5 linked regions of the Cricetulus griseus genome follow. The protein of the gene in region 2 interacts with the protein of the main gene of each other region in a biochemical or structural test. Links are inferred from orthologs where the notes say so. Each region holds a gene or a part of one and is shown on either strand. Other genes may lie near its edges. The genes, in order: Dusp10, Mapk8, histone H2AX, Nr4a1 and Mapk8ip3.

What was found.
Region 1: the proteins of Mapk8 (region 2) and Dusp10 form a complex in vitro, tested with the Homo sapiens proteins (2 studies listed by BioGRID, with this or other methods). The link is inferred for Cricetulus griseus from reciprocal best matches to the Homo sapiens genes MAPK8 and DUSP10.
Region 3: the proteins of Mapk8 (region 2) and histone H2AX form a complex in vitro, tested with the Homo sapiens proteins (2 studies listed by BioGRID, with this or other methods). The link is inferred for Cricetulus griseus from reciprocal best matches to the Homo sapiens genes MAPK8 and H2AX.
Region 4: of the proteins of Mapk8 (region 2) and Nr4a1, one has a biochemical effect on the other in vitro, tested with the Homo sapiens proteins (2 studies listed by BioGRID). The link is inferred for Cricetulus griseus from reciprocal best matches to the Homo sapiens genes MAPK8 and NR4A1.
Region 5: the proteins of Mapk8 (region 2) and Mapk8ip3 form a complex in vitro, tested with the Homo sapiens proteins (3 studies listed by BioGRID, with this or other methods). The link is inferred for Cricetulus griseus from reciprocal best matches to the Homo sapiens genes MAPK8 and MAPK8IP3.

The regions. Positions count from the first base shown.
Region 1 is NC_048598.1:10,588,798-10,592,798, forward strand, and holds the start of Dusp10 (dual specificity protein phosphatase 10), read right to left. Parts: upstream 2,805-4,001; 5' UTR 2,647-2,804; intron 492-2,646; 5' UTR 451-491; coding exon 1-450. Other genes in the region: uncharacterized protein LOC100773462, read left to right, coding at 3,350-4,001. UniProt on the Homo sapiens protein: Protein phosphatase involved in the inactivation of MAP kinases. Has a specificity for the MAPK11/MAPK12/MAPK13/MAPK14 subfamily. It preferably dephosphorylates p38.
Region 2 is NW_023276807.1:185,964,181-185,968,398, reverse strand, and holds the start of Mapk8 (mitogen-activated protein kinase 8), read right to left. Parts: upstream 2,811-4,218; 5' UTR 2,660-2,810; intron 1-2,659. UniProt on the Homo sapiens protein: Serine/threonine-protein kinase involved in various processes such as cell proliferation, differentiation, migration, transformation and programmed cell death.
Region 3 is NC_048597.1:156,021,660-156,024,767, reverse strand, and holds histone H2AX, read right to left. Parts: upstream 1,866-3,108; 5' UTR 1,785-1,865; coding exon 1,353-1,784; 3' UTR 510-1,352; downstream 1-509. UniProt on the Homo sapiens protein: Variant histone H2A which replaces conventional H2A in a subset of nucleosomes. Nucleosomes wrap and compact DNA into chromatin, limiting DNA accessibility to the cellular machineries which require DNA as a template.
Region 4 is NC_048595.1:397,707,168-397,710,681, reverse strand, and holds part of Nr4a1 (nuclear receptor subfamily 4 group A member 1), read right to left. Parts: intron 841-3,514; 5' UTR 839-840; coding exon 1-838. UniProt on the Homo sapiens protein: Orphan nuclear receptor. Binds the NGFI-B response element (NBRE) 5'-AAAGGTCA-3'. Binds 9-cis-retinoic acid outside of its ligand-binding (NR LBD) domain.
Region 5 is NC_048600.1:44,531,471-44,535,492, reverse strand, and holds the start of Mapk8ip3 (C-Jun-amino-terminal kinase-interacting protein 3), read left to right. Parts: upstream 1-1,221; 5' UTR 1,222-1,347; coding exon 1,348-1,665; intron 1,666-4,022.

The sequences.
Region 1 (4,001 bases), on a different chromosome or scaffold from region 2:
GATGATTTTGATGCTGGCTAGCTGCTTGGGAGTCCCTGACACAGGGCTGCCCACCCCACCCGATGGACTTAAAGAGCCTGTGTTCTCATTGTTGTTGACCATCTGGTTAGCAGGGCAGGTGGTCGAGGTTCCTATGGCGGTGGTGGCAGTGCCAGCGGCAATGGCTTGAGTCTGGGCCTGGTGATCCTTGTCGTAGGTTGTCACCGTACAGCAGCTAGTACTGCTGCATCCACAATTGAGGGAGCGGGCAGAGCCGCTGGATGAGGGCATATACGTCAGATTCGCAGCCTTGAGGGTCACAACAGCGGTGGCAATGACAGGAGGGTGGCTACTGCTGCCTGGGGTGGCAGAGCCAAGGTAGCTAGAGTCTAAACAAAGGTTGAGATCCTGAGGTCGGACAGGCCTAGACAGTGTCACTACTACCCTGTCGTCTAAAGGAGATGGAGGCATGAGGAGGCTGAAAACTGGCAATTCAAGAAGAACTCAAGAGTCTGTAAAGAAGGGGAAGAAGGAAAGAAAGAATAAAGTCATGTGGCACAAAAGGCAGTCTCATCCAATCCCTGGGAAAGACCTCTGCATATCTCAGAGCAAAGTCAGCATCCTCCCAGGTGCCCTTGGTCATGATGCCATCAAAGCCTGAAATTCACTTTGATGTATTCAGAGAGGACACATCCTTGAGGGACCCCATGCATTCTGATGCTAAGTCGAAGGTTAAAATTGGAAGTGAGGTTAGAAATGGTAATTGGCATCCTTTCAGGGACCCAATCAAAGTTCAGCCTTCACGGACATAAAGGCACCGAGAACTGGGAACAATGAAGACCTGACAGGGAGGCTCTTAGATTTATTCTGAGCCTCCTCTCCTGGGCAGGAGTCTATTTCACCTGTGATGGATGCATTTGTCCACCCTGGCATGTATTCTGTTTCATTTCTTTGCCCACTGCCAAGGCAAAGAGATAAGCAAGAGCATTGCCAGAGCTCACAGAGATGCACAGAAATGCGTGGCAGCTAAATTTACATGGGGGCAGATGTCAACTTTCTGCTAATGAGGAACGAACGTGTCTTCCTAAGTCAGTCTCCTGGACTAGGAGCTAATCTTGCTTGCTTCCCTTTCTGGCGGCCCCTTTGAAAACCTCAATGCAGTCCTCTTCAAAGCCCTCATGTCTTCTGTGAGCCTCTTCCAAACCAAGCCGCACTAACTGTCCTAAAACCAAGTCCCAAAAGGAGTCAGGTCTGGGAACCCCAACTCGGGCTGCTGACCCATCATGACCCCTTCTTCCTTGGCCCAGCTCACCCTTGACCCCTCCCTGTGCTGTGCCCCTAAGCAAAGAAGGGTTTGGATTTCATCCGGGTGGTACAGACTTTGCATTGACATTGGAGTAGCAACTCTAAAAGATTTTTTCATTCCTATACTGATGTCCCCTCTTGGAGACAGCATGGATTCCATGAAGGCAACTTCACTTGCTCCTTCACCACAGGCAGGCTAATTAGGAAGCTGGGAAGTGGTGCCCACAGGGGTTACCTCTGCCTTCCCCCAAGGGTGCCTGCAATGGGTCACTTCCCTCCTCCTCCTAGGCACAAGGCCACTCTAAACACAGCCATTCTGACTCCTCTACTAGACATGTACACAGCAAAGAAATCAAACCCCAAGCAAGAGCCACTCACCTAAACGAACTTTTAAGATTTGCCTGGAAAAACATTATGGATCATGGGTCTACTCAAGACCGTCACCGTTCTCTGACACCGAGCCAAAGTGTCACCGGCAGAATCCACACAAGCACACACAGGAGCACGTACCCACCCGTGTCGGCATATCCCCACTGACTCAGGTTTCTCTCATCCACCTTTGGATGGGAGCAAAGGCTCCAACCTCCTCCTGCCTTCCTCCCTCCCTCCCTCACCTCCCTGCCTGCCTCCCTTGCGTAGTACTTTATTTATTTGCAGAGCGAGTACTATTCCAGAAGCTTAACTGTGTCCCTGCTAGACCATGGATGCAGTCAAAGTCTTTGCTATTGTGTTACCTGGCAGAGGACGTCCGGGATCAGTAGCCCATTCCCTAGGAGCAGGACCCAAGAACGTGTTCCCAGAGACAGGCTGGTACCAGCACCTCCACACTGAGTGCACGGCTCGCACCCAGGCACGGAGTGCACCGAAATCTGCATCCTTGCAGCAGATAGCTCCAAAGCCATCCAGTCTGGCCCTGGGAAACCTCCCTCAAAAATAGCGCTTCTCCCTTACCCTGTCCCTCGCTAGTCTCCCTTCTCCCACTAAACAGGGACTGGAGCAAAAAACCTCAAGTGGTTAGGGAATGCTCCTTCCTCACTTCTGGGGCACTTAGCATCCCCCTTCCTCGCCACCGCTGGGCATCAGCTAAGCCTTGGGCTTTGAAAACTGCCACAAAGCATCTTAACCGAACCAAAACTCATTTTCCCCCTTCATCCCAGGGCAACCAGACCCAAAAGCCTAAACCTTAGGACCTTCCTTAACTGATGTGGATTTCTCTGTCTCTTACACACACACACACGCGCACACACACACACACACACACACACACACACACGCACACGCACACGCACACGCACGCACACACACAACCCCACGGGACCCTCCAGCCTCGGGCTCTGAGTGGCCGCGATGACTTCCACTTACTTCATCAATAAGCGTAGCCCTCCACCATCTGGCGCCGGCTCCAGCTATGCGCTCGCGCACTGCGCCCCCATTCACTCAGCTTCATTGATCCCCAGCAGCAACACAGAGTTACTTTCTCTTTTGCTACAGCGTAAATGTAAGCTCCGGAGGGGGCGGGGCTACCGCCGAGCGACGTCGCGCTGCACCAATGAGGATCCAGAGCCCGCGGCCCGCTACCTCACAGTGGCCTGTGGCCAATAGACGGCCGAGGGGGCGGAGAGAGAGGCGTGGCCTCGCCGCGGGAAGGAGGCCCGCTCAGACGCGAAGCTGGGTTTGGTGTGTTAGAACGCGGGCGGTGATGTCATTGGCAACCAATCAAAAACTTAAAAGAGCCAGCCCGGGCCCGCGCGGAGCAGCAGCTCTCTATTTACATGTAAACCTAGGCGGCCGCCAGACGCGGTTAACCCTTCCCGGGGCTGAAGTGTCAATGGCTCGCACTGGCCGCTCTGGCTGAAACTGGTTCTCCCGGCGTGGCGGACCCCGGCCTCGCGGGGTCTCCATTCCACTTCGTGACTCGGGGTGGAGGCTCAGGAGTGTCCGGCCAACTTTCCCGAGGCCGGAGGCGACCCGAAGCCGGGTCTCTCCATGGCCGTGACAGCGCAGCGCGGGACGTGAGCGCGCACAGGGCCGGCCTCCCCGCAGCCCGGCTCTGTCCGGCCCGCAGATGTCGCTGCCTCTCCGGCTGCCCTACTGCTCTCCCGCGCGGCGGCTGCGCGCCGTGCTCCTGTTCCCTTACTTCCGTGCCCCGGTCACTCCCCCGCCGTCCCCGGTGTGTTCACAGGAGCCCGACTCGGAACTCGAAGGTGGCAGCCCGGAGAGCTGCGCGGAGGAGGAGGTTTGGCTCTACTCCAGCGGCCACTGGGGGCGCGTGCTGAGCGGCGGCGTGGGCGCCATCCCGCAAGGCTGGGCGTGGCCGGGCTCGCCCAGCGGCCCACCAGCGCCACAGCCCCGGCACCGGCCCTCAACCCAGCCCACCCCGGTCCTGGCCCCTTCCGCTGCCACCTCCCCGATCGCCGTGTCTTGGCACTCGCAGTCCATCCGCCCCGCGGTGCTGGGCCGTCGGCCCTCCGTGGCGCAGAGCCCTCGGAGAGCCAAGGAGCGCCAGCCTGGAACTGCAAGCGCGGGCGGGAAGGAGCCCGAGTTTAGGGTGGTGAACATCCACAATGAGCGGCGCTGGAGGAGCTTGGAGGAGCCGAATCCAGCTTTCTCGGTTCCCCGAACTTTGGCCATCAGAGGGGTCGCTAGTCGCAGCCTGTGTCCGGGGAAGAGAAGTGGGAAGCTGAACAAGCCTGCCAGCGCCTCGCCAGAAAAATATC
Region 2 (4,218 bases):
TACAGGCATGTATCACCACATATGGCTCAATTAACTCTTATACTAAATTTCCTTTCCAAGTAATTTCTCTAAGGATTAAAAGGAGCATGAAATATACAGTTTCCTAATATGCCACGACAGTTAAAGGGTACCCTTTTCATTAAAGGGACTTATTTATTAACAGAACCCATACTCTCTTCCTTTCAAACACCAGACTGCTTTTTTTTTTTTTTTAAGGGGGTTTTCTTTGTGGTACAATGATGCTCCAGAATGGTATAGTAGTGATCAATGCATAATTATGCAAGTAGACTAAACACCACTAAAAAATACTCTATGAGAGCCACTCTTTATGTGAATTAAATCTCAAGAAAGCTGTTTAAACAACAGAATTTAGAAGACAACCTAACTGAATTTATGCAGAGTCTGTCTGTGTGTGAGCCACTCAAATGATTTCTTAATTCCAGAGTCCCTTCTGGAACCTCATACACTTAGCTAGGTAAAGCAATAAAAGTTTGGTGCCCCAAGGTCTATCACTCAGAGTAATAGAATAATTTCCTTATTTTTCCATTCTTATTCTACAGTAAATAAGTTCATCTGAATGACTTTTCATATCGAAAAGAAATATTTTTTAAATAGTGGAAACGTGCCAAAACTTGGATAAATTCATAGTATTTTGCATTTTAAACCCATATGCTCTGTGAGATAGATAAGTACAAGCTAAAACCTGACCTTTCCAGTAAGCAACTCTAAAACATTAACCAGCTCTAGACTATTAGAAATAAAATATCTGTAAAACACATGTGGGTGTTGTGCTTTTCTACTCAAAGAAATCATAAAAACTTGTGAAATAATAGTGGGAAAAGATACATTCCCTAAAAGTCTGGGAATCTGGGTTTGATGTCTAGAACCCACTTAAAGGTAAAAGAAAATCAACCCCACAAAGTTGTCCTCTGGCTTCCACATGCACACAGAAGTATGTGTACCCCCTGCCCCAAAAAACACACCATGCACCCTAGATAGTAATTTTTTTTTTTTAGGGGAGAAAAATGAAATCATGTTAGATTCCTAATGAAACACCACTGTTAGGTCTGGGTTCATTCACACATCTGGCTGGAAAAAGCCCTTATCTAAAATATTGGAAGTGAACAAAGTACCCAACTTTGATGACAAAGTACCAAGTGAATGCCCCTTATCTGCAAAGGACTGTAAGTGTTTCAGATTTTGGAGTATCTCCGACTTTCAAGTTATGGATGCTCAACTTTTACACACATACTTAACAGACCCCCCACCACACACACACACAACACAATTTTCTACTTTATTAATTATATGCAAAAAATTCAGGGGTGGTCTTAAAATAGTGAATGCCCTGGAAGTAAAGCATAAAAACAAAAACAGTGATCCCAAACCCTCTTTTATCTTAACAGGTAGTATCCTCTACTAATTTACGATGCAGCCAACTGAGAGTGATGCTTGACACTTCTCAAACTTCGGGGGTGGGGGTGGGATTTAAAGCTTCCAATTTTCCTCTATAAACTTTTTTTTTTAATCAACTCAACGTGTATGACTTCCATGCTAGGTGCTGGAGAAATGATGCAAGATAGGCATCGAAGTACCATTTTGAGTGCTTGCTTTCATCATACACAGCAGTAAACATGTTCACTCAGAGAACCTGACCTCCCAGGTCTAACAGCCTGAGGTAACCATTAACAACGACAAGAAATTAGGGGAGTGGTGGTAAGATTTAAGAATAATGGTGGTATATTTAAGCAAATCTAGCTCTTCTTCACATTACCTATCACATTACCTTCAGAAGTTCTAATAAAACGAGGCAAATACCTTACTTAACATATATCACTTATATAACAGTCTTATTTAAAGGCACATCTATTCTATTCCAAAGTACCCTATTCGTAAGGGTCTTTCTCTTGGCCTTCACATCCTCTCCATCTGGATACAGTACTAACAGCTGCTGAATGAATGAATGAAATAAACAGATGTTCTAACTGACCAAAAGGTACTTGGCGGATGCTCATCTCAAAACACAATAGGCTGACAGACCAGAATTCTACTGAAAAGACCACTTGATTTCAGAAGTAGAAATAGCAACTACTGGACACCGTGCAGTCAACATGTTATTAAATTGCCGGTGGTATAGGGAACTTTCGGGAATGAAAATGCAAGGTGTTCCTTACGGTACTTTAAAATGGACTTGGATCTACCGTGTCTGGACTGGGAATCCAGGCACAAGACAAAGAGACAGCGGTGGGGGAAAGTCAAAAGGTCAGCGCCAGGAGCCCCTCTGAAGGCGCGGCCCGCAGGCCGGCGCGCTCGCGGCCACCCGGCCCTTCACGGCGTCGCGGCACTCACGTCCGCACAAAGAAACCGCCCACAGTCAAAACACGCTCCCCGTGGGTGCGGGAGACCTATGTACGGTCGCGTCGGCCCGATCTCCGCGAGAGCACCTCCGAACTTGCCGCCCACCGGCTCCATTCTCCCCGCGCAACGTGGAAACCGGCCAGAGTGGAGAAGCCAGGTCGCGCCGAGTGGACCACGCCCCCCGCTGCCCCGCCGCCCGCGCTATTGTTCCCGCGCCGCCCCCGCCCCGCGCGCGTTCCCGGAGGGGGTCACGGCCGGGGGAAGGCGGCGGCCGCCCGGGCCGCGGAGCCCGCGCACTCACCCGGCAGCGCAGCCAATGGCGACCGGGAAGCCCGTAGCGGTGAGCGGCGCCGTCCCGCGGTGGCCGCGGCCGCTACTCAGCCCTGCTCGCGGCTCCGCGTTCCGGCCGCGACGTCCGGCCTCGGCCGCTCCGCTGACTAACAGAGACGCGGGTCGTCAACGCGCACGCCCGCCCACGTCATCGCGCAGGGCCCCGCCCCCGCGCCTGCGAGCGGCCTGGGGGCGGAGCGGCCCCGGGGGCCCGGATTGTGAAGGCGTGGCCCAGTGACCGGGGGCGTGGCTACATTGGAGAGCAGGCGGCACTCGCGGAGGTCGCCGCGGGCCGCAACTGGGAAAGCCGCGTGTGAGGGGCGTGGCCGGGAGCAGCAGGGGGCGGGGCTGCGACGGCACGTGGCGGCGCGTGGCGGCGAAACACCAGTCATAGCCTAAGCCTGCTGGGCTGCCAGCTTGTGGAGGGGCGTTAGTGTTTGAAGGTCAGGCACGCATGTCAGTGCACACACGTGAGCCACGGAGAATCCTACTTGGACAGCCACTCTTCCAAGGCCTACCACCCACCAATAAGAAAATGTTCTCCAGCTCCCTGGAAAAAGTTACCCCCCCAAAAAATAAATGCTCCAGATTCTTTGCATTACCTGATATACCTCCAAAGCCTCGTGTCTCCTGCAAATATTAGCTATGGACTGATTAACTGGCCAGCCTAACCACCCGACAATGGATGGAAAGGCATTTAAATTACTATTATTCATTCAGTAGAGTATATTTATCCCTTTAAAGACAATGTGTTTGTTCAAAGGCATTTTTACCAACCAGAGAAAGTAACTTATAAGAGAAGGGAGCAAGAAACACGTACACATAGAATGATTACACATATATAAAAAATACATTACATGCACAGTATATACAAAAAAACATGGAAAGGAACATGATAGGTGTTTTGACAGTGGTGAATAAAGGGCAGTCTCTCCTGTGTGGTATCCTATGATTTCCAAAAATATATAAATATTTATCAAATAAAGTCAGCTGGATTATTATGTTCCAATTACACGTTGAGATGCTCTGTTTGCAGTGATGTGGTCATAAGGCAAATGTGAGCATTCATCCATCCATCCTCTCCCCATTTCGTCTCTCTCAACAATTCTTTTATTTATTTATTTATTTATTTATTTATTTTTATTTTATGTTCACTGGTGTTTTTTGCCTGCATGTTTGTCATGTGAAGGTGTCAGGACTACTGGAGCTGGAGTTGCAGATAGTGGTGAACTGCCATGAGGGTGCTGGGAATTGAACCTGGGTCCTCAAGAAGAGCACCCAGTGCTCTTAACAACTGACTCATCACTCCACCCGCCTCACCAATTCTTTATTTCCATACTTCCTTTATTTCTCCAGTGACTATTTTATCACTTGCCCATTCTCTTAAAGGCAGTGTTCTAGCACTAGCAGCAATTAGATCTTTCATAACAGAGAATTTCTGTTATGAAAGTAATTATACAAAACGTAAAAGTATCAACGTATAATACAAATTAAAAGGATACATCAGACTATGAAAGGAACCAATATATC
Region 3 (3,108 bases), on a different chromosome or scaffold from region 2:
GGGTGTTGAGACTTCCAGAGACACGAATCACCTTGGGGCCTTGATGACTGCGCCTTTCCTCCTCAGTAGTTAGGGCTTCATCTCTTTAGAAAAAGTCAGTGCCAATCTCGAATGTAACCAATGCCACTAATATTAAACCAGCTCTCAATGTGGTTGTTTTGGTGGAATTGGGGAAAATATAAATAAACCCAAAGCCCTTTTAAACCTGAATTCTGAGTCTGGGACTTCTCTGTTGAAATACTTTCTAATTGCCTCATGTTCTCAGAATGCATCCCAGGAAGCACCGAGCAAAGAGAAAACTGCCTCAATTCCTACAGCCTGCCTGTTTTCAGTTAACAGAACCTACTTGTATTACAGTCTTGCCCATCCCCACTGCTCTAAGGGAACTTACAATTCCACTCCCACCTCCCAACACAACACATGCCAGGTACATGGCTCTACCACGGAGCTATAGAACCCCAACCCCGGGCCTACAGCAATTCGAAATTAATCAAGACACTCCATCTTTTAAAAAAACAGAACAACCATTTAATAAAATTAGCCCATTGAAACTCCCCACTACCTAAGGTTCTAAACTTGGGATAGCTGCAAAATTCCAGTTCAGAAGCCAGTAGAGGCTCAGTCCAGATAGGGATTCACCGACTTGTGCTGGTATCTAGGTGTTTGGGTTGTGAATTGAGTCGCTGGGAAGAAAAGGGGATAGCTAGGCCCGGCTGCCAGTCTCCTGCGGCAAGAACACAGCTCTTCTGTCCACAGGCCTGTAAGCTTCTCCCAAACCCTTTCCAGGAGGCATCCTGGAGAAAACCAGCTCATATTACAGTGATTTTGTCCCGGCCACACCACACACCGGCCGATGAACGAAGATGGGGTAAACTGGTATGAGGCCAACGAAGGGGAAAACACAGGACCAAACAATATGATCCATTTCTCTTCACCAAAGCCTGGTAATCAAGTCACTTCTGGAAGGTCCAGGCGAGGGCTAAAGCACCAAGCTGAAGAAAGGACGCCCGGGTTGCAGCTGCAGAGTAACTCACCTTCAGGCCCACCTCAGCCGTACGTCACAGCAAAAGGCCGACACTTCTGGAAGGTGTCGCAACCTCTCCGCGCGGCCCATCGAGACGGAGACCGGCGAAGCTCCGCGATGGATAAGTACCGCGGCGCCTGACCCGGAGGCCGTGCAGGGAAGGGGAGGCAGAAACGCGCGATGGCAGAGAAAGGGGAAGAGAATGGGAACGCGGCGGCCCGGCCCGCAGCCCTAAGTGGCTCAGCTCTTTCCGTGAGGGAGGTGGTGGCCCTTAAAAGGGCCTTTGTGGAGGTGTGGGGAGGGCTGGGCGGCCAGGGCGCGGGCTCCCTCAGTACTCCTGAGAGGCCTGGGTGGCCTTCTTGCCGCTCGCCGGCGCCTTGGGCCCCACGGTGGCGCTCGTCTTCTTGGGCAGCAGCACGGCCTGGATGTTGGGCAGGACGCCGCCCTGAGCGATCGTCACGCCGCCCAGAAGCTTGTTGAGCTCCTCGTCGTTGCGGATGGCCAGCTGCAGGTGGCGCGGGATGATGCGCGTCTTCTTGTTGTCCCGCGCCGCGTTGCCCGCCAGCTCCAGAATCTCAGCGGTGAGGTACTCGAGCACGGCCGCCAAGTACACCGGGGCGCCGGCTCCCACGCGCTCGGCATAGTGGCCTTTCCTCAGCAGCCGATGCACGCGGCCTACCGGGAATTGTAGACCGGCGCGCGAGGAGCGCGATTTCGCCTTGGCGCGGGCCTTGCCTCCGGTTTTACCGCGACCCGACATCGTATACGAGGTAGAAAGCAGAGAGCAACACCGACGACGAAAGAAAACTGCCAACCGCCGCAGTCAACTGTCGCCGCGCGCGGGCGAGCTCGCCCTTATAAACTCCATGGACACGCCCCCGCCTCCCCCTGATTGGCTCTTTTCCCCAGTACCGGCCTCTGGTTGGTTGGAATTAACCCTTCGGTGACGCGCCTAGGCGAAAAGAGCTCGCCCAGCGATTGGTCCAATTTGAAAACCTTTTACCCGGGGAAGAAAGCAAGGCGGAGTGGCCGCAAACAGCAGGCTAATCATCCATGGAAGTGGCCAATCCTTATTAAGCGCGCGAAATTTAAACGCTATTGCGCGCCACCAGAACCGGAAGACTAGGAAGGTGGAGTCTGGAGGCGCATGACTGTCTCTGGGAAATCTGGGCCGGCCAAGGGTTTTAAAGTAAAAGGGTTAGCCGAGCGATAGTGGTGCACACCTTTAATTCAAGCACTCAGGAAGCGGAGGAAGGGGGAGCTCTGAGTTCAAGCTTAGCCTGGTAACAAAGCGAGTTCCAGGACAGCCAGGGTTACAAGGGGAAACCCTGTTTCGAAAAACATTTTAACAAAAGTTAAAAAGGGAAAGAGTTCTCCTTCCAGGTCAGGGGCACTCCCACGCCCTCCTCAAATTTGGCAAAGGGAGGGTTTAAAGGAGAAGAAATGAAACCTGAGAGTACAATCCTATGCCAGAAAACTGAGTGCTGTGATCCTTTGTGCTACGACAAGTTAGTATTTTAATATTTATTCAACATGTTCTGTCTGGTTTCAGTTCTGTCACTTCTTGCAGGAAGGGGTCTGATGGAACAGAGGTAGGTATTCTCTTGGAAAGGGTACCCACCCCAACCCTTCCAATCGATCCTAAAATGCCCATACGAAAGATAAATAGGGGATAGATGTATAGATTTATTCAGTGGTAGAGCACTTAACAAAGTTCAGTCCTCAGGCCGGATGTTGGTTGCACAAGCCTTGTATCCCAGCACTGGGAGACAGAGGCAGGTGGATCTCTGTGAGTTCGAGGCCAGCCTGGTCTCCAGAGCGAGTGCCAGGATAGGCTCCAAAGCTATACAGAGAAACCCTGTCTCGAAAAACCAAAAAAAAAAAAAAAAAAAAAAAAAAGAGTTCAGTCCTCAAGTATCTCAAAGGCTAGAAAAAGAGGTTGAGGGAGAGAAGCAAGTAAAAGACAATCCTTTATTGTCACCATTTTGAGCACATGGCCCTGCCTCTGATCTTCCTAATCAGAACACTTAATTTTAAAGTCAAATGTGAGGTTACCTTGGAGTATAGGGCCCTAACTCTAGCAC
Region 4 (3,514 bases), on a different chromosome or scaffold from region 2:
GCTGACAGGAAGCATTGTCTCCACATACGGCACAGTGCCCCTCACTGCCACTTGAAGCCCCACTCCGGGCCTTGGTGGAGGTCACAGGTGCATCCAGAATCCCAGAAGTGTCAAGGTTCGGAGAAGTGGGTGCCAAGCCAGGGAAAGCTGCTGGCATGGAATAGCTCTCTCCCTTCCCAACCTGGTGGGTGGCTGGTGGTGGGAACAACTTCAGGGAACTCTGGGCCAGGCTGGGGCTAGGACCAGTTGGGGGACTGAAGGAGAAGAAGGTTGGAGGTGGGGGGGGCCCAGAAGCCTTGGGCAACTGCTCTGTCCATGCCCGAAGGCCTTCATAAGTCTGGCTGGGGGAGAAGTGACCAAATGAGCCATCCCAGGGAGAGAGCTGGGGTGGCTGGAAGCTGGGTGTGGATGGCGAGGGGGCTGAGCAGGGACTGCCATAGTAATCAGAGCCGCTGGAGGACAGGGTCTCATCTAACGGGCCACTCAGGGTGCCGGGATAACAGCCGTACACCTGGAAGTCCTCAAACTTGAAGGAAGCAGAAGCGGGAGAGGTGGCCGAAGATGAGGAAGAAGATGTGGAGGAGGCTGACGAAGAAGCTGAGGAGCATGGCTGGGTTGTCCCCGGCAGCTGGTATAGGAAGGTGTCAAACTCTCCGGTGTACCCGTCCATGAAGGTGCTGAAGCTGGGCAGGGTAGTGGGTGCAGTGGGTGCTGCCTCGGGGCTGGCCAGGTCCATGGTAGGCTTGCTGAACTCAAGGGCCAGGGGGTCACTTGTCAGGTGGTCACGCGGTCCTGGGCTTGTTGCTGGTGTTCCATATTGGGCTTGGATACAGGGCATCTCTGGAGAGGGAGGAGACCCAAGGGAGGGAAGGGGAGGAGTCAATAAGAGCCAGGGCAGCCAGGTGGCAGGCCTAGAAATGAGGCAGGCCACAGGACCACAGAACCCAGGAGTCCTGATCCCCCAGCCCAAGCACTATCTCAGTCTACAAGCCACAAAGCTCATGGGCAGAGACCCAGTCCAAGAGGGCTCAGTCAGAAGGCCAGCCACACCCCAGTGGGCCTGGGAACCCTAGGGAAGGCATCTAGCCAGAACTTCCCTGCAGGAACAGGGGGAAGCTGTGTTCCTCCAACCCCCAGCCTCCTGTTCACGGGTGGGGGCTGGGAGAGGCAACCCACAGAGCTTCGGCCCAGCCCCCAGGAGCAGATCTGCTGATTTTTCAACCAGACACTTCCTGGGAATACATTCCCAGGCACACCCCAGGCTCTGCATACCCCTTCCTCACTTCCCCCCACAGTGTCAGTGGAGACAGACATCCTGGAACTGGAGGAGAAGCTGTGGGTCACGGTACAACTGTCTACCACAGTGGCCTTAGCAAAGCAGCCTCAGATCCCAGCCCCACTTCAGCGCTGTGTGCTGATCCCACAGGCACCCAGTCCTTCTATCTGGGACTGTGCACCCACTCTGTACTTTCTGGAATGTTTCCAGGAGTTAAGGGAATTACTGGGTAGCATGTCTACAGATGTTTAAATACCACATACACTGGGGGCTGGAGAGATGGCTCAGTGGTTAAGAGCATGTGCTGCTCTTCCAGAGGTCCTGAGTTCAGTTCCCAATTCCACATCAGGTGGCTCACAACAACCTCTAACTCCAGCTCTGATGCCTCTAGCCTTGTAGGATTCATGTGCACACACACAGTTAAAAATAGTTAAGAAAAAAGTCTTAAATTCTATATATTGCAGGGAGGTGAGGGACTCCTCAGGTGAGCAGGAAGACCCAGAGAGGAGCCTCTGAGCACACAGGCAAATTTTCTCAGCTAGCCCGATCATTTTTATAAGAGGACACTCAGAGTCCAGCAGGATACAAAGAGTACAGGAGCCTACTGGTAGATGCATGAGGACAACCTGCCCCTGCCCATACCCCTCTGATAAAGCAGATGTCTGTTTCCTGTAGCATCCAGGGACTTGCCAAAGCCACACACATACACACACACACACACACACACACACACACACACACACACACACACACTGGAGCATCTGAAATATCAGAGATAGTACCATTCCAGGGAGACTCTTAAGTTTGTATCTGGTCAGAAATCTTGCAGAGGAAGCTTCAGGACCTAGTGTCCCTTCCAAGACTAGGGTCTGTACAGTGTAGCCTTTCTAGTAGGGAAGGCAAGCCACATAGAAAATCAAGCTGGAGCAGAGGAAGGGATAGTAATGGGGCAACGACTGTCACCACTTGCTTGCCAGAAGGCCCTTGAAGCCCTCTAGTCCCAGTATTTCTCCCAACCCCACCCCACCCCTAGGTGCCTGGACAGGACAGTTCCACCCCTGGCCTGACATGCAGCCTCCCAAAAAACAGTGCCCCCGCCCCCAAGTTCTAGCCCTGCCTGCACAGTGGTAGGTCCCTCAAGCATACAGCACCTGTGAGAAATAAACATGGCCACTTCTGTCTAGGCAGGGATGGGTTGGGGGTGGAGGAGGAAAGGTGGCAGCCAGTCAGGACTGGGCATCTGTTCCAGCCTCATTCAAATCCTGTTTCTCCACTTGGACATCCTACATCCGGATCAACCCCCACCAATCTACCCTGCTTCAGGCAGATAGTCAGCAACACGAGATACAGACCTGCATCTAGTCTCCTGGGGTGTTGGGGGAGGTAGTCCCAAGGAGGGGGGAGGAGGAAGAGGCGGGGCTGAAGGAGGGAGTTGGAGAATCCGGCTTGGGTCAGGTCCTGGCAACACAGTGGCTTGCACCTGTTGTCAGGTGAACAAACCTCAGGCTGCACCCTACTTAGCAGATTCAATGGGGACCACTGGGGTGATCTGCAAGCCTGTCTGGATTGAGGGGAGGGTAATCCCCTCCCAAGTCAGTGCCACACTACAGCAGAGCAACTTTCACCCAGTCCCCACGTGCCCCTTTCCACGACTGCGCCAGGGTATAGCTAAAACAATCCTTTGCTTCTAGATACCCTGACTGTGCCAACTTAGTCCAACACCGCAATCACCCCGCCAATCTAGCTAGCCATTTCCTTCAGCAAGACCCAGGTCTTCCTGCACAGTTCATACACAAAGTTCAGTAGGGGAATCTGAAATTTTAACTACAGCCTATAAAGTGTTAAGTAAACAACTGGGAAAGAGGTTGATAGCCTGGAAAGGAGACCCGTGGAAATTCAGTCCTACATGGAGTTGGATAGATCCCAGCAGCGCGGAAGCTCTACTGTATACTTTCTCCCTGCAACATACTCATACACCCGCCACCCCACAATCGGCACCCAAACACAGAGTATGGCGTGCCTGTTTGGGCGCCCTGGGAAAAAACAAAACAACACAACAACCGCTGGACGAGCCTCCACTACCTACCGGCACCAACCACCTTGCAGATCCTTTACCCACTCCCCAAACCTCAAGTTCGCGCTCACCCCACTCCAAGAGCTACCCTTAATACCACAGATGCACTCTGCACACCCCTTCTCGCACGCCGACCCGAAGACATCCTTTCCCCCGCGCGTACA
Region 5 (4,022 bases), on a different chromosome or scaffold from region 2:
GCAAGGTTAGTAGATTTAGAAACTTTCCCAGAACTATAGATTTTGATGGATTAGGTCTATTGTTTTCATTTTTGGCAGGTGGTGCTGTCTACATGCTTAATTTTACAGCATGAAAGGCACTTCCATGATGGAGTCAGTTGTGTAACTTCTGGGGGCCCTGTTGCAAAACAATCTCTTCGGGAATGTAAGTATTTGTCTCTATAGCAGTGCTGGGATTAAAGGCTTGCACCAAGTGGTGATTGTGCACGCCTTTAATCCCATCACTGGGGAGGCAGAGATAGGTGGATCTCGGACTTTAAGACCAGTATGGTCTATAGAGTGAGTTCCAGGATAGCCAGGGCAACATAGAGAAACCCTGACTCGAAGAAACCAAAACAACTACAAAAAGCTAAACAAATTGTTTGAAAGGGCGAGGGATTTATAGCTCCAGTGACGGTATGTGCACTTAGTCCTAGCTGAATAGCAGAAGCAGGCAGATCTATAAGAGTTTGAGGCCAGGCATAACGTGTTCCAGGTTAGCCAGTGCTGCACAGTAAGAACTTGTCGAGACACACACACACACACACACACACACACACACACACACACACACACACGTGTGAAATTGTGAGCAATGTTTTTAAGTGTTCTGGATATCAGCTACAGGACTCATTAGGTTGGTGTGGTTAGGAGTAAGATCTGGTGGCTGAGACACGGCTCAGCGGTTGAAAGAACTTGCTTTTACAGAGGAGGTCCTCTGTTCAGTTCTGTCCAGCCATAATGGACTGTAACCCCAGTTCAGACGCCCTCTTCTGGGAGGGGGGAAATCATCTGTTAGCAGAAAGCAGTCAGTAAACCACGAGGTGCCACAGTTCAAAGTCAGGCTCATGGTGTCCCCAGCAAATAAACACAAATAGATCGACTAGCTTTATATTCCGGCCTCAAAGTACTGCTACACATAAGGACCCCAGAACCCAGGCGGACGGTGCAGATGAACCACTGCTATGAACTAAGAAACATCCAGAAACGGCACACGACACATGTCGAGGCCGGCTAGAGTATATTACCAAAGCCCGAAGACAGAGACACAGACTCAACCACATGTTTCCAGCCCCAAAGAGCTACACAAACACCACCGGCTTCGCGACCGGAACTTCCCATCCGCGTTTCTTCTGGCGTCAGGGGTCACGACCCAGGGCGGGGCAGGACGAGGCTCCACCCCCGCGGCTAGGCGGGACTTCCGGCAAGGGAGTGACGGGCGCGGCCTGGGCGGCGGCGCATCCTAAGGTGGCGGCTGCCTGAGGTGATAGCGGCCCGTGGACTCGGGCACAGGAACGAGCCGCGCTGGCGGCGGCGGCGGTCGCCGCGATGATGGAGATCCAGATGGACGAGGGTGGAGGTGTGGTGGTGTACCAAGACGACTATTGCTCGGGCTCGGTTATGTCGGAGCGTGTGTCGGGCCTGGCGGGCTCCATCTACCGTGAGTTCGAGCGCCTCATCCACTGCTATGACGAGGAGGTGGTCAAGGAGCTCATGCCGCTGGTGGTGAACGTGCTGGAGAACCTGGACTCGGTGCTGAGCGAGAACCAGGAGCACGAGGTGGAGTTGGAGCTCCTACGCGAGGACAACGAGCAGCTGCTCACGCAATACGAGCGCGAGAAGGCGCTGCGCAAACAGGCCGAGGAGGTGCGTGGGCCCCGGCCGCCGCGGAGGGGCACGGGGTGGGTAGCGGGGTGCAGCCAGCCCGGCCCAGGCGGCAGAATGCTGCCGATGGAAGTGCCGCTTTCTCTGTCCAGTTTGGACCCATAGCCCAGCCTGTGCAGAGCCCGGGAGACAGGGGCTCCCCCATTCCTGCTCTCCTCTGACCTTGGCTGCCGCCTGCTGTCTCTGAGTTTTTAATCCTTCAGTCCTTTGAGCAAGTTGCCTTATATGATCGCAAAGCCCAGAAATTCTACTATTCTGGGAGTAAATGCTCTTAGGTTTATGGTGGGAAGTGGCTCCTTATATGAAGTTAAATTCCATTTTAGTGAAGTTGACACAGTCTTAGAAACTACTACTGAAGTTAAGAGACATTTTGGTATGTTGGCTTCTTAAATCAATGGCCCCCTGTCCCGGTTTATATTGTTTATATTGAATTATTCCTACTTACTGTGTTTTTACTTTACTCTTGACTGTTGAGATGCTGCTGTTTCAGAATTGGGATGCGCAGGCAACACTTGCTTGGCTTGCTCAAGTTCTCAACATAGGGGATTTAAATGCTCTAAGGATGTGCGGAGGGCCCAGGGCGAACACAGACCTTTTACTGAGGTGGTTACTGGCTCCAGAAAGTGTCTGGGCTAGACCAAGGTCACACACTGACCACTGACAAAAGGACAGGCCAAATTACAGGGTAGACTTTGGCACCAGCCCCTGGGCTTTACCTTTGGGGTCATATTGCTGCATAGTGGGGCAGTTCCCCAGAAGTCTGCAGTGTTCTGTCCTTGTAGCCCAACCCTGGAGCTGAGACTTGTGCCTGAAGTCACTGTCCATGGTCTTGAATTCTAGAGACTTTTGATGCTTTGACAGAGAATTTGGGTATTTTTTCCCTTGCCCCTGTACTTACATAGTCATGATCACTGATGTGGAGGAAAAGGAGAAAATGAAGGTGGACAGCTGTAAGGCTGAGTTAAAACCTTGTAATTTAAAAATGGGCTCTGCCTGGAATAGGCACCTGCTCCATGTGGTGTCAACACTGTTCCTGGGGAAGATGTCTCTGCCCTCCAACTTAATCACAAGCTGGACTAAGCTGTGAGTGTGCATGTGGCTTGCAGAGGGAGGCACTCACTGCCAAGACCCAGCTCTTTAAGTTGAGCAAAGCAAGAAGTAAACAGATGCTGGGCTGGCTAGGGGAAGCTGTTGTTCAATGCCCACAGTATGCCCTTGAAGGAACCACCAGTGAGGTTAAAACTAAAGAGCAACTAAACACTGATGGCATTCTAGATATTTTGTGGATTGGAGTGGGTGGTTCTGTTAAAAACAATCAACAACAAAACCCCACAAACTACTGTGTACTGCTGGCCAGCTTCCTTTTCTGGACAGGGACTTACGATCAGATGGGTGTGATATGCCAGGAGTTATGCATCACTGGATGCAGACTTGTCATGGTGCAGGAGAGTGCTGTCCTAGGCACTTTGCTTGTTTAGTCTTAGAGGTGGGTAACCTGAGCTGCTGGCAGCCTTTGGAGAAGACAAAATCTTCAAGATTTTTTGTTTGTTTGTTTGTTTGTTTTTCAAGACAGAGTTTCTCTAGGTAGCCCTTGCTGTCCTATAACCATGGTGACTTCTAACTCACAAGGATCTGCCTTCCTCTGCCTCCTGAGTGCTGGGATTAAAGACATGTGGTACCACCACACTGCAGGCTTTTTAAAAATTCTTAAACATCTTAGTCCTGTACTTCTTATCCTGATACCAGGTGGTTCATTCTCTAGAGCTCAGGACCTGGGAGGAGGGACTCAGCTGTAGAGTTTGCAGATGCCTGTCTGGCCATCCTACCCTCAGGGACCACATACCTTACCCAGCCTCTCTCAGACCTTCAGTTGTAGCTGTCTTATAAAGTGAGTGGGATGTTGGCCATTGGTGTCCCAGAAAGACAATTGTGGCAAGGTAGATTTAGCAGTGAGAACAGGGTCCCTAATGTAGTTTCAGGGACGGTATTCAGCCGTGGATGGCATGGTTTGGGCCTTGTAATCTGTTGCGTTGTTACTGATTGGTAAGATACTAACAGTGTTTTTATCCCAACATCCTTTCCCATTGGAAGAAGGATTAGAAAAGGGCTAGCCTTTTTCCTTGCAATAGGCAAGCCCTTAGATAATAGGAAGAAAAATTATGTTTGAAAGACAATATTAGTGTTACTACTTCCTTAGTCTTCTAACGATAAAGAATGTGCTAGGAAGCCTTCTATAGCTCATCTCAAGCGACTCAGGTGGGTCCTTTGGATATTTACTGATGATGCGGCGTTTGCTTCTACACAACGAATCCAAATGGAAGAGTTTGATCCAAGATTTA